2 linked regions of the Bombyx mori genome follow. The protein of the gene in region 2 binds, or shares a complex with, the protein of the main gene of each other region. Links are inferred from orthologs where the notes say so. Each region holds a gene or a part of one and is shown on either strand. Other genes may lie near its edges.

Evidence for each region.
Region 1: F-box only protein 11 (region 2) and cullin-1 share a complex: the UniProt entries of both Homo sapiens proteins name them as parts of the SCF(FBXO11) complex. The link is inferred for Bombyx mori from reciprocal best matches to the Homo sapiens genes FBXO11 and CUL1.

Annotation. Positions count from the first base shown.
Region 1 is NC_085108.1:4,460,578-4,464,812, forward strand, and holds the start of cullin-1, read right to left. Parts: upstream 2,801-4,235; 5' UTR 2,465-2,800; intron 2,374-2,464; exon of another isoform or gene 2,167-2,373; intron 1-2,166. UniProt on the Homo sapiens protein: Core component of multiple cullin-RING-based SCF (SKP1-CUL1-F-box protein) E3 ubiquitin-protein ligase complexes, which mediate the ubiquitination of proteins involved in cell cycle progression, signal transduction and transcription.
Region 2 is NC_085131.1:4,818,855-4,827,791, forward strand, and holds the end of F-box only protein 11, read right to left. Parts: intron 8,465-8,937; coding exon 8,159-8,464; intron 7,444-8,158; coding exon 7,263-7,443; intron 6,608-7,262; coding exon 6,460-6,607; intron 5,926-6,459; coding exon 5,827-5,925; intron 5,017-5,826; coding exon 4,887-5,016; 3' UTR 3,225-4,886; downstream 1-3,224. Other genes in the region: rho GTPase-activating protein 11A, read left to right, coding at 55-111, 349-1,900. UniProt on the Homo sapiens protein: Substrate recognition component of a SCF (SKP1-CUL1-F-box protein) E3 ubiquitin-protein ligase complex which mediates the ubiquitination and subsequent proteasomal degradation of target proteins, such as DTL/CDT2, BCL6, SNAI1 and PRDM1/BLIMP1.

The sequences.
Region 1 (4,235 bases), on a different chromosome or scaffold from region 2:
ATACTGCCTGTACATTATGGTGCACTTGCAGAAGCCAAACATCTTCATTAAGTCTTCAAATATGATTTTTAGGCGCTAGTGAATAATATCGACACTTGAAAGGCAAACATGACTAACCGACAATAACTACTTTGTACATAAATGATAAGCAATAACCATATTCGATGTGAAAAAAAAAAATATTTCTAGGTCTATTAAAATTATTTCAATCCTACAGCTACTAGCTAGATTCTACTACAGCTAGATTCGTTAAAATAAATTTTGTTTTCAGGTATTTCAACTTTAAATTAGTCTACTGTAAAATTCACGCATTTTCAAACGTCGATATGTATATGTTTACACATTTCTGAGACCTCAGCATTTGAGGCAAATGTAATAAAATGAAGCAGTATATACATGTAGCAGTAGCTATCATAGAATAGAAGTACTATGGTTACAACTTGATTAATATGAACTACACAACCAAGATAAGCTAAGATTCGCAATAGCTATACTAAGCAAAAAACCTGCCTCACACTACAAAACATTTTTTCTCAGGTAGTCAATTAGCTTAGATGAACAAGTATGCAATACAACCGTCACTAAATTTCTCCCTTTCAATAGTTCACTCAATACTGAGCATCAAAATCTGTCAGTCACACAGTGAAGTGCATCGCTCAGTCTTATGTCCAGATGCTTAGACACTAACTAGTTTACTAACCATCACTATTCCTAAGCAATTTTGATAAAAAAACAATAAGATTTGAAATTGATGAACAAAAGAAAGTTAAGAACAATACAATGTCAACTTAATTTATGCAATTGTGTATGTTTTTTTTATTGCCCTTGTAGGCATACGGTCTCCTAATGGTGAGTGGTTACCGTCGCCCATGGACTTCAGCAATGCCAGGGGCAGAGCCAAGCCGCTGCCTACCGTACGGGTTCAATATCACGATACCCAGTTTCAAATAGACATAGTTGAGAGTTCATCCGCAAGGCAGACTCAGTAAATTTGTCTTTATATACATTTATTTTATTTTATTCCTGTGCAATTATTATTTTGAAGAGAATAGCAAACAGAGCACATTACATGCACGTGTACATTATTTCGTTCATTGTTTTTTGTGTTGTGCAATTATTTTCGTGAAAAGAACTTATCATTTCAATTTCCTAATACTCATATGAATTTCGACATGTAAATACAGCACCAACTGAATTGTAATATTCGTTTACTTGAGACTGCCTAAAAACTTTTCTTTGTATTGTATTTTTTTTAAACATCATTATTATTAATCTTTATCCTTATCATTGCCTAGAGAACAACAATGCCACAAGCATTGTGAATTGCCTTTAAATTACTTTTGAAAAATATATGCCATAGCTCTGAAGTAATAATGATCTTTAGGAACAACTGTAGAAACTCCCAAATTACTACTTGGGATGTCCTCACAAGTTCATGAAGTATATTCTTACAAAGAGATGAATTTGCTTAGCTTGATTTAGTCAATCAATATAGTTGGTAACTTACATTTAAGGCAAGAGATTTGATACATTTAGGGCATTTAGCCTTGGAAATAGCCACTTTGCACTCCATTTCCTGTATTTATTGTGCAAAATCAGAACTCTACTTATATTTTTTTACTTTGAGCACAACCATTATTAACTTACATCACTGAATCCCTATAATTTCATATGTAACACATATTACATACATAGTATTTATTGGTACCTCTAATTTCGTATGTAATATATTTTACAAAGTATTTATGTAAATCTTATAACAAGACCTAGTTATTTTCTCGATATTGCCACTAACAAAAAGCAGGTGGTAACAGATTTAAAAGAAAAAGTGTAGATAAGCATAGGAAGACATAACAGACATACGTTTTGTTGTGTATTGTGCTCATTGAACGATAACTGTTTGTTCAACTAGAAAACTGTGTCTTATTAGCATAAACAAAAAAAAAAAACAAATTACCGTTTTCCTTAACTGCGCATAACGATGTGCGAGATTAACATGGAGTTTATGAATTTAATAATAAGTAAATGCAATTAAAGGCTAAAAACGATACGAAAAGTAAAAGTGTTGTTGGATCTGACAAAGGAATCGAGATTTTGCAACACAAACAAGGGCAACCGAGAACGTGTTTTTTTAATAATCTCTCAAGCTTTTGAATTACAACATACCTGCTTAGTCTTCCCGTTAAACCTAATGGCACTATATTTTACATTAAAAGCACTAAATGAGCTATTTCAAACACGTTTAATCATTATATTGCGACTGGTTTCTGCCTGACAATTTCAGGTAGGTAGGTAAGTACCTACCTACATCTGTATTCTGTAATTTGGACTACCTACCTGACAATTCACTGACAGTCACAGCGTGACATGACAGATATGAAATAACGCTACCGTAAAGCGTCCGAATTTTTTTAGTTTTGATATGTTTTAAAATGGGTATGTAAATTGATCGGATTATACTTACGTAGCACCCGTTTTCACGCTGTCATCGACCACATTACACTTTTTTATGTACTTGATGCGATACGATTGAGCTTGTTTTATTATACCACGATTTACAATCACGATTCATCAAATTTTATTCAATTCGGCAATACGTACACATGTAGGCCTTGTTATTTTGGACCATTTCATCCTCACTTCAAATAAAAAGAAACAACAGTGAAAAGAGAGAACAAAACTGAAGCAGTGCTGCCGGTAAATAAATTAGACAAATCCCAAACCCTTATTGATTTTATAGGATTTTTTATTATTATGCCATAAAACTTTATTTTCATATACCCATAATATTACATGTCAGCCTTCTTTAACGATGTTTGAATTTATTTGAAAAAAACAATTTGATAGACTTCAATTTCCTTGTAAATCAGCAAGACTGGTTGCGTTCAGTTTGGTGTTCTCCAAAGATTGCTTTTGCATTAAACTGCCTAGTAACCAAGTAATATCAATCAATCACTAATATAGTTAATGATTTTTTTTAAACAAGGATATGATAGATATAAATAGCAATCGCAAAACCTTCCGATCGTCATCGTTGTCCATAAAAGTCCCACATTACCTTAAATCAGACGAAAAGTATCCGCACTGGCAACTCTTAAAACCGTGTTCATTTTCACTCTACTGTGACGCTAGGTGGCGTTACTTTTTTGAGTATTGATGCGTTCAAATTCACTCAGAGGGGATTTAGTGAATTCAGATTTATGCTACTCTGGACTCTGGAACACAAGTAGATTAAACATAAATAGAAATGAATTAATTAGGGCAGAAACGTAACATTTGTATGTATGCCAATAAAAATATTGAATATACTATTTTAATTGTTAAATAGACCATGTTTTCTATCAATTAACAACAATAAAAATCATGTTAATGGACTACCTATGCAGACTAAAGTGCAGGAATCTCCAGCTTTTTAAATAAATCTGTGTACTGGTTTCAATGCCTAGGTACTGAAATGTTGATTTCTCAGGTAATTAAGCTTGTAAATTTTCTGCATGAGCAACTACGACAAATCAATAAAACTATTAACCTAAGAATATATCCCACAGAAATACTTGACCAAGCCAGGTCCTTCCCCACCGCAAAGCTTTTCATGTTGAAATTGTGATGAAAACATTTAATTTTGGTGAATGAACAATAATATTTTTACTCTAGATGAGCAGATTATCTGTAGACCACTCGTCGATTGATCCAATTGGTTATCAGATTAGCTAAGAGTATTACAGTCCCTGCTTAGTTTTGTTTTCTAACAAAAGTTAACAAAGGTTAAATGAATGGTCTCGAGAAGATATTTTTAAATGAAAAGGTTGTTATGACCCTTAATACTTCTAAAATTGTACTAGGATCTTCGAATTTTTCGAAGATCCTAGTACATACTGTTGAACTTAAGTTGATGGTTTTTACTTGTTTAGGAACCCAGTTAAAGTTCTCGTGTGTATGTAAATATTGTAGTCGTGTGATCTGCGTGCTTCTACTACAATATTTACTACAGAAAATAAATAATATTGCGCGAAACTCTTGTCAAATCTGCCAGAATTCCACGATTGTTTTTGCAAGGTCTAAACTGCAAACACAAAAATGACAGTGACACATTTTAGTTAATCTAAAAGTAATTTAACAGACCACGACTGGCTGGCCCAGTAACCAGTGCCCTTGAGTGCTACCTGAGGGTCGATGTTTTTACTTCCAGATCGACTATACGTTTGTGTGTTAATACTCTCTGAGTGTTATGTATT
Region 2 (8,937 bases):
CTAAGCAATAAAAAAAACATAATAAATCTAATTTAAAATTCACATATGTTCCAGGAAAGACATAACCAATGGACTACCTCAAAAGGAATTAGCTTTTACACCCATGAAGATGTAAGTAATGGTGGTATACTAACAACTAGAGTCTAGTTACTAGACGTTTAAGTAAAAATATCCTTCAAACACACGTGAAGCAAAACTTTTTACATTTCTGGCAGACCCGCTGAGTTTCTTGCCAGTTCTGCTCAGGACGGAGGCTAGTTTTTGTGAATTGGCGGTAGTTCTTTTGACGTTCAACAAGTATGTACTTTCATTTATGTTGAATAAAATTTTTTTGATTTGATGTTTTAGGGGAATCGAGAGGAAAAGACTGCGGCTAAGCTTAATGGACGCTAGGAGTACACCTATTATAAACTCAGATTTCAGCTCACATAAAAATTCAGAAACCAGTATTAGTAGCGAGGACTTGTTGACATCCACCGAACATTTGTTCAGTGCTCACAACACGATCGATTTATCACCGGACATGAAACAAGAGAAAGATTACGTCAGAATTTCCAAACAAGAATATGAGGAAATCAAAAGTAGAGTTTCCGCCATCGAGAACAGACTCTCAAGGGAATTCACTGATGCAATACAGCCACGTATACAACCTTTACAGCAAGTACAGAATGTGTATGAACAAACTCTGGAAGAAGTAGCAATGCTTCATTGTCCCAGTTCAGATAATTTAGCTCGTAGATTAAGCAAGGAGCTTAAAATTCGACCCACAGAAGAAGCCAAAATTATACGGTCCCCGAGTGCTAGGAAAATAGGCTCAATACGAAGACGATCGAAAGAAAACCTTACAAAAATAGTGAGGCACAAATCTTGGAATGTGCCTTCACAGTCTCAAGCTAGTCACGTCACCGATAGGTTTTATCCTTACATCGGTCTGAGTCGTCAAAGAACGAAAAGTGCCAAACCCGCAAAAACGACGCCAAAAATTAAAATCACTGATTGGGAGGAATCTGACAACTCATTCAATAATACTTCTGACAGTAGTAAAAAATATCATCTCAGGAAACGGACCAGTCTTGCTCCAGATTATAATCGAGAAAAACCTGTTAGTAAAATTCAAGCTCGAAGATCATTAAATTTAACAAGCAATAATAGTTTTGAAAATACGCTTTCGGAAACTTCGTTGAATAATTCGCATGATTCTAGCGGAAAGTCGAATAGCTTAGAACAGAGGCCCTGTTATCAAAACGTGGTCGATCGAAACACACACAAATATGCTAAAAAGAGTCCAATACAGCAGAAATGGCGAAGCGCAGCCGCTTTCTTCATGAACAAGACCGGCGAAGTTGACAGCTCTGGGACGACGGGAAGGCCGTCCGTGAACAAACTCAGGCGGCAAAACGCCGGAGCAGTTCTTGCGAAAGCAAAATTATTCGAATCTAGTTCTGATAAATCATCTGAACGAAATGAAAAAGTTGCCAATATCGGCTTTGCGAGGCGTCCCAGGGTTAGTGGTCAACAACCGATAAGAACCCAAAAAGCTGTCGCTCTTGTTAGGCCTAAGATGCATGGCAGTGAGGAACCCATCACACCTGTGAAAAGTATTAAGAATATACCCGCTGCGCCGTTTGTGCCTACCAAGTCTTCACTATATAATGAATGGAGAACAAATAAGATGTCATCGCCAATCAAGAAAGTAACTTCTCCTCAAACGAATGCGGCAAACTTTACGTGTAGAACTCCACAAATACCAACCCTAAAAAAGTCTCTCATTACCAGTAAAACTACAAGAACTATTGTCCAGTCTGCAGATGGAAAGAAGTCCAATACCCCGATGAAAGCAGTACATGTATCACCTAAAAGAAGATCACCGCGACAAAAACTCCAACGAACATACAATTAAACATTTTAATAGTATTATATATTGTAAAGTTACTATTGTTTGATAATTTTTAAATCAAGTGGCCATATTATATATAAATAATTAACCTTTACCTACTCATCTTGATTTGTATTAAAATAAAAATGAATACATGCTATTTCATTTCTATATATCTTACATTGTGACACATCACGCGTTTAAATTCATAATACAACCATAAAATTACATTATCAACCAATCCATGTTTAGATGCGTTTTGAATGAACACTATTGCGATTTGGTAGACAAACATGCTTAATGGTGAGTGGCCACCGAGTGTTCAGACATCAGCAATGCCAGAGGTTCAACTAAGCTACTTTCAACTTTTTCAAACCTCTGAAGAAGGACTTGGTAGCGCTCAGGAAATATCTTGCGGAAGAAACTTAATTTCAAAGCCAGTTGATACGTGGCAAAAAATATCTTTGGAAATAGCGCATGAGCACAGGGGTTAAATCACATTAATAGTTATATTAAATATAGTATAGCAAATATGAAGTGTTATTATCTATGATATAGTTGAACTGTGCTCGGGAGAGATATAAATGAAGTTAATGGGATCATTTCAAACAACTCGTCAACATCTCTTCCTACAAGCACTTCAATACTCTCATGAGGATTTGATAATGACATCGATACTGTTTTTTCTTCAAATGAGGCATTGATAGAATAGTAATAATATTAATTAAAAAATAGTATTTAATCTATGGTTTGAAGTATTTGTTAGTAGTCTATGAGCTACGGTAACCACTTACCATTAAGCGGATTACGTTAGGCAGCGGCTTAGCTCTGCCCCTGGCATTGCTGAAGTCCATGGGCGACGGTGACCACTCCTTATCAGGTCGACCATATGCTCGTCTGCCTACAAGGGTAATGTAAAAAAAAGACCCGAAGACACCCTCCTTCGGTCGGGGTCCATACCTCTCGAGTTACAGTCATATCGTGATAAATTCCTTCTTTGCAAGGTGATGAAGTGAATCATAAACATCGAGCTCCTTAAGTATCTTGAGGATCGCCAGCTGATCAGTGATCGGCAGTACGGAAAGGCGATCTTCTTGTATGCCTCATACATAGACAGCCTGAAGCCTTGGGAAGCAAGGGCGAAGCTATGAGCCTAACATCAAAACGACAAATAAAATAGTTGGCTTTAGAAAATATCTAGTTTTGAGGTTCTACGAATATCTCTATATTTTGAATTTATCTTGTGTCCAATGTCATATATACCGCGTCCCTTAATCACAAAAATTATTACTCTAGAAATATATATTGACAAAGAAAAAGTAGAGCCAGGGTAAATAAAATGCCAATATATAATATTATATTATGTATATCACGGCTTTTACAGTAGTATTCTCATGTAGAAAAAATCCAGTTCTGAGTTCAATAAATTAAAACATACTGACAATTTAATAAATAATTTTACATCCAAATATATTAAAGTTTAACGGAAAGTTGTTAATCACCTGACCACTATTAGTATTGCTAAATACAAAAGATAGAAAAGGTAAAAGAAAAAAAAATGGTAAATGGAAAACAAAATTTAAGTTCTCTTTAATGTATAAGATAACTTTACTAATAATTTTTTGCTATTCTTAACATTAAGCCTTTTAAATGTAAAGTAGAAATCACGTAATTAACAACTGCCTTGTAAATTCATCCTCGTTTTATCTCAGTATTAGTAGGAGCAAAATATATAATATAAAGCATTTTATCCTTTCAACGAACTAATAATAATAATGTCAATTCTGATACGCGTGGTTTTAAACTAAGTTTATGTTCACTAACACGTTTAGCGATGATCACAGATTGAGGATTATAAAAGCAGAATCAGAACAGACCGTGCTATGGAGGATAATTTAACAATTCGAAACTTGCAATAGTGATTACTGAGTAATTTAGATTTCTTATAGCTTATCGGCTAACTTATCACTATCAGCACTCCGGCCGCTAACGCACGGCACATTCCAGTTTCACGCATTGCTTTTCGATCCATATCAATACCAAAATTTAAATTAACAATAAAAATATCAATTGTACCTAAGATCTTCTCCAATTCAATACGCATTGTGTATTCGTACTCAATTTGAATATATATATATCAGAGACCATTTCCTTTCACACTATCTACTGGCTCAACGTAATAGTGGTCTTTTACCAACACGAAGCTGACGAGCGGCGTCTCGCTCCCACTCTTCTTACCGTTACTTACATTAACGAACATACATATTGTGATCAATAATAAAAATATAATGATACAAATACATTAATTACTACATTTCGATTATTGTGTGACATAAATATTTACAAAGCGCATTAGGAGGGCCGAAACAGTTAGGCAAGGCGGACTCCTAAACGAGAAATTAGATGCCGCGTGTGCCACCACGACCGCGGCCGCACTACACTTAACTTACATAATTTAAACATAGCGCACTTCTAACACTTTATTAACTAAAACGTCTCAAGGATAAAACATCGCCGCCAGGATAGCCAAACGAATGCCCCAACAAATAATACAGTATATCGTCGTCAATAGATAAAATTTACAGTTTATATCGATGAATGTTCAGCCGTCCTGACAGCGAGTCGCCATTCAGATTGTAAATAAATGGGAATAATAAAGTTTCCGGTGATAACAAAATAATTATAAAACATCGACGATTATCCAAACTAGTCGATATTACGTACCTCACTACCAGTTAATTTTACAAAATGAATAGCATTATTCTAAACGTGATATCTTGATCTAACGGTACGATTACAATTTGGGAATGCAACGATACTACTACTCGATGAAACAAAGTTTTAAGTACCGACGATTACAAAATTTACTACACATAGAGACAGCGACAACGTTCGAAACGCGATTACGAATATAGACAAACGGCCGGACAGATCGGCGACTTCCCGTAGGAACGTACATCTAGGAAGTTTTAGGTAATAAAAAATAGTAGTGCGGGTTGCGGCGGCGACATCAGTTGACCATCAGCGTGTGCGACTCCATGGGTGCGGCCGAGTCGTACAGCGTGTCCGTGTCCTGCGTGGGCTCGCCCTGCAGCTGGCACTGGTTCGAGAGCGTGCCCGCGCCGCAGTCGCAGAAGAACCTTCGACAGACAACATAAACTTTATACTAAATCGTGCAACGTACGTTTGTGGGTATGTGTGGGTACGTTTGGTTTGAAGGGTGGGGCAGCCGTTGTAACTATACTTGAGACCTTAGAACTTATATCTCAAGGTGGGTGGCGCATTTAAGTTGTAGATGTCTATGGGCTCCAGTAACCACTTAACACCAGGTGGGCTGTGAGCTCGTCCATCAATCTAAGCAATAAAAAAATATATATTTTCAAAAATATTGATCACAAGAACTCATAGACTGAACAATGTAAACGAGACTTTAACAGATGAGATAAAAGTCTCGATTATGTTTGTATGATTCCTTCAGGGCAGAAATAGGCAAAATGGTTATGCTTTTTTTTTTATTAGTTAGTTGAGTGGAGTGAGCTCAAGCAATGAAAAAATAAAATAAAAAAACTTTATACTAAACCGTACAATGTATTTAAGGTATCTCGAAAATTACTTCAGTTTTCTATCCCAATAGATTTATTTATTGGTGCCAAGACCTTTTGTGAGTCCGCACAGGTAGGTACCACCACCCTACCTGTTTCTGCCGTGAAGCAGTAACGCGTTTGGGTTTGAAGGGTGGAGCAGCTGTTGTAACTATACTGAGATCTGAGATCTCGTATCTCAAAGTGGATGGGGTCAAAAATAAAACTGAAATATATGAATTATTTTATTCATGAAATGGTCGTTTTTTTTTTGTTATTGTATCCCCTTCTTTTTTCTTTGAATTTACTCTTAAAAACTAATACTTTACGTAGATTTGTATGTATGTATAGACCTATAGATAGACTTACCTGTCATGACGAATAAATTCGACGTCATGACCGGAATGGCACGTTTTGATGCAGTTCACGCAGATTGCATTGCGGTCTGTCGTATTGCACGTCTGGCACCTAAATAAATATACAAAATAAGTTGACACAGCTTAAAGGACTGATATCTACGGCAACTACGGCAACAAAAAAAAAAGTATCAGTGTCGTAACGGTTGTTTTATTCGAAAAATCTGTATTACCACCCATATCATATGTCTTTAAGAGGAATATCTTCATCATTTTCGAAAGTCCCTATATTAAATTCTAGATCCAAACCGGCGCTGGTGAGTACCATTAGTTATTTCTGTCGCGAAGTAATCTAAATATTCTGCTTTAAAATGTCGAACAGCTGTTGTACTAATGCACGAGACATTTCGGTCTAATCTAAGATGCGGAATCTAAGAAGCAGCATTCAAATTGAGTTGTAAGATTGTCTGGCTATTTTAACTACTAAAAATTGCTAACTTACATTGAATTATGGAAAATGATGTTTATATTATAACTGATAGACACAGCTCGATTGCATTTAATGCTCATGAACTATTATATAATTTAGTGACCTACAAGAAAGAGTTTAATGAAAAATTCATCCAGAGACCATGATTTTTCTTACCTATAGAAATCGTGCATCGGAAAGGAAGTATAAGAAGAGATTTTGTAGAGACACTGTCCACCGCCGACAGCCTTTTCAACGGCGTCTTGGTTGCTGAATATCTTATTTCCCCTAACTAAAGGAGTAACGCCAGAAGCCAGACACAGGCCTGCAAATAACAAAAAAACAATTTTATATCAGTCTTATTAATATTTAATGATATTCTTTTAAGATATATTTTATGTCAATTGAACAATATTTTAACTGTAATGGTAATTATTACAGAACTAGCTGACCCGGCAGACTTCGTAGTGCCTCAAACGATAAATAAAAGTCCTAAGCTTTTGTATAAAATAAACTTAAAACAAACAAAAACAAAATTGCTATTTTTATTTAATTCAGAACATTTTCATTTTTATCTACCTTTTAAACCTTTTCTTGACTTCCACAAATAATTCAAGATCAAAATTAGCCAAATCAGTCCAGCCGTTCTCAAATTTTAGCGAGACTAACGAACAGCAATTCATTAATATATATATATAATATAGATAGAAAAACCTCAATTGGGCTAAAACATTTTCTACTAACACACAAGTTCGAAATAACAACATTCAGTCAGTTTACAGAATAATGCACCCCATTCAATGGAAAGCATTTCCTTTCATATTTTCTCTACTGAACTACATCTAATTCGCTTCAACTATTTTGAAAATTTCTTGCACATTTCACATGGCAAGAGCGCAAACTTATAATGTATAAGAAAGCCCATTTACAACTTCTCAAAGGACAAAGCATTAAGTATACAAGAATATAAAAGAAGTTACCTCCGAATCTGTTATTAAATATCTGATTATGTTCTAGGGTGGCGGTTGCATTATTAGTAATCTCGACACCGGCGGCCAGTCCGTCAAAGATTCTGTTCCGACGTAATACTGGATGGCTCTGCGTTGAGATCAGGACGCCTGCTTGCGCGTTGTGAAATATGTCATTCTCTTCTAACACTCCCTGTAAACAAATAGCTTATTTTTGTAAGATACTACTACTTCATAACTAGGATATACAGCAAATTTGTTGTTAAATATGTAATATTTAATTGTAATGACAATAAAAATAAAATTTTAATTTTGTATGAGTGAACGAGCTCACGTTAAATAGTAACCAAAGCCAATTAATTAATCACCAACTATGGAGGAAATTTCAATATAATTACTGACACCCACAACAAACAGGAGAAAATGATGGTGTTTAACTGTTTCGTGTTTGCCTATTTATAGATAGATATTAGATATTATGTATGTTTATACATACATAGACGATTAGATTAAAGCTAAGTACTAAGTTACCAGTTGTAAAGATTGTAAGATCAGAAACAGATCAATATCTATTAGGTTATTTTAAGGTTAAGTCTGCTGATGGTTGGGATTTTTATATTTATTGCTGCAAACTGTTATACTTCAAATTTGTGTTTGATTAATTGATTAAAATCAATTCAATCAAGGGATATGTTATTGAAAACAATAACGCCCTTCCATCATTTGCTTTTTTATTTTATTTAAAGGACAAAATGTCTAATTTATTACAACTGAATCTAAATTTGTCTGATTAAGATTCAATTCATGATGCTAAAATCAGATTTTAATCTTGAATATTCTACAAAAATTATGTATCTCGTTTTTAAAATTTACAAAACATAAACTAAATTCTCTATTAATAATCTCACCTTCCCACCATTAAAAATACAAATGCCCCCGTCACGTCCGTCGAAGATCTTATTCCTCTTGAGCGTTGGGTTTGAATCAGTCTTAATCCATACACCGGCCATCGCATTATCGAATATCTCGTTCTGCTCCAACAATCCGAGGCCCCCGTTGTATACAAGTACACCACCATTCTGACCACCCCAAATTTTGTTTCCTCTGATAACAGGGTTGCTGCCTGTCCTAATCTGAACTCCAGAGTATAGGTGGTTGAATATGTCATTGTCTTCTAACTTGCCGTGACCATTGTCATAGAAGTATACACCAACCTAGTAATGAAGTGGTTATATAAAATAGATCAACTGTTCTTATATTTCCACATATTATTTTCACAAAAAAAAAACAATTACACTAAACAATAACAGGTTTATTTTATATTAGAGTAGAGAATACTGTCCTGTCTGTGACTCACTTAATTTCTGTGATCCATATTTTGTTGAACATATGCTATAATAACTATTACAAACAACCATAATAACAAATTGAACTTAATTGGATTCAAACTACCTGTGTATTCATTAATGTATATAAGTATTTTTATTGAAATAAATACAACGTATGGGTATGAACTTGCACTCATTCTTAAATCATATACAAATTTATTCTTCAGCACAACACAACTTTTGGTATAGTAAATATCCCCAGAATTCTAAATACTTCTTACACTGAAGGTAATTTTATTTTTAAAACTATTTAATGGGTATGTTTTAAGTTATTTTATGTATTCCATTTTATAGATTGT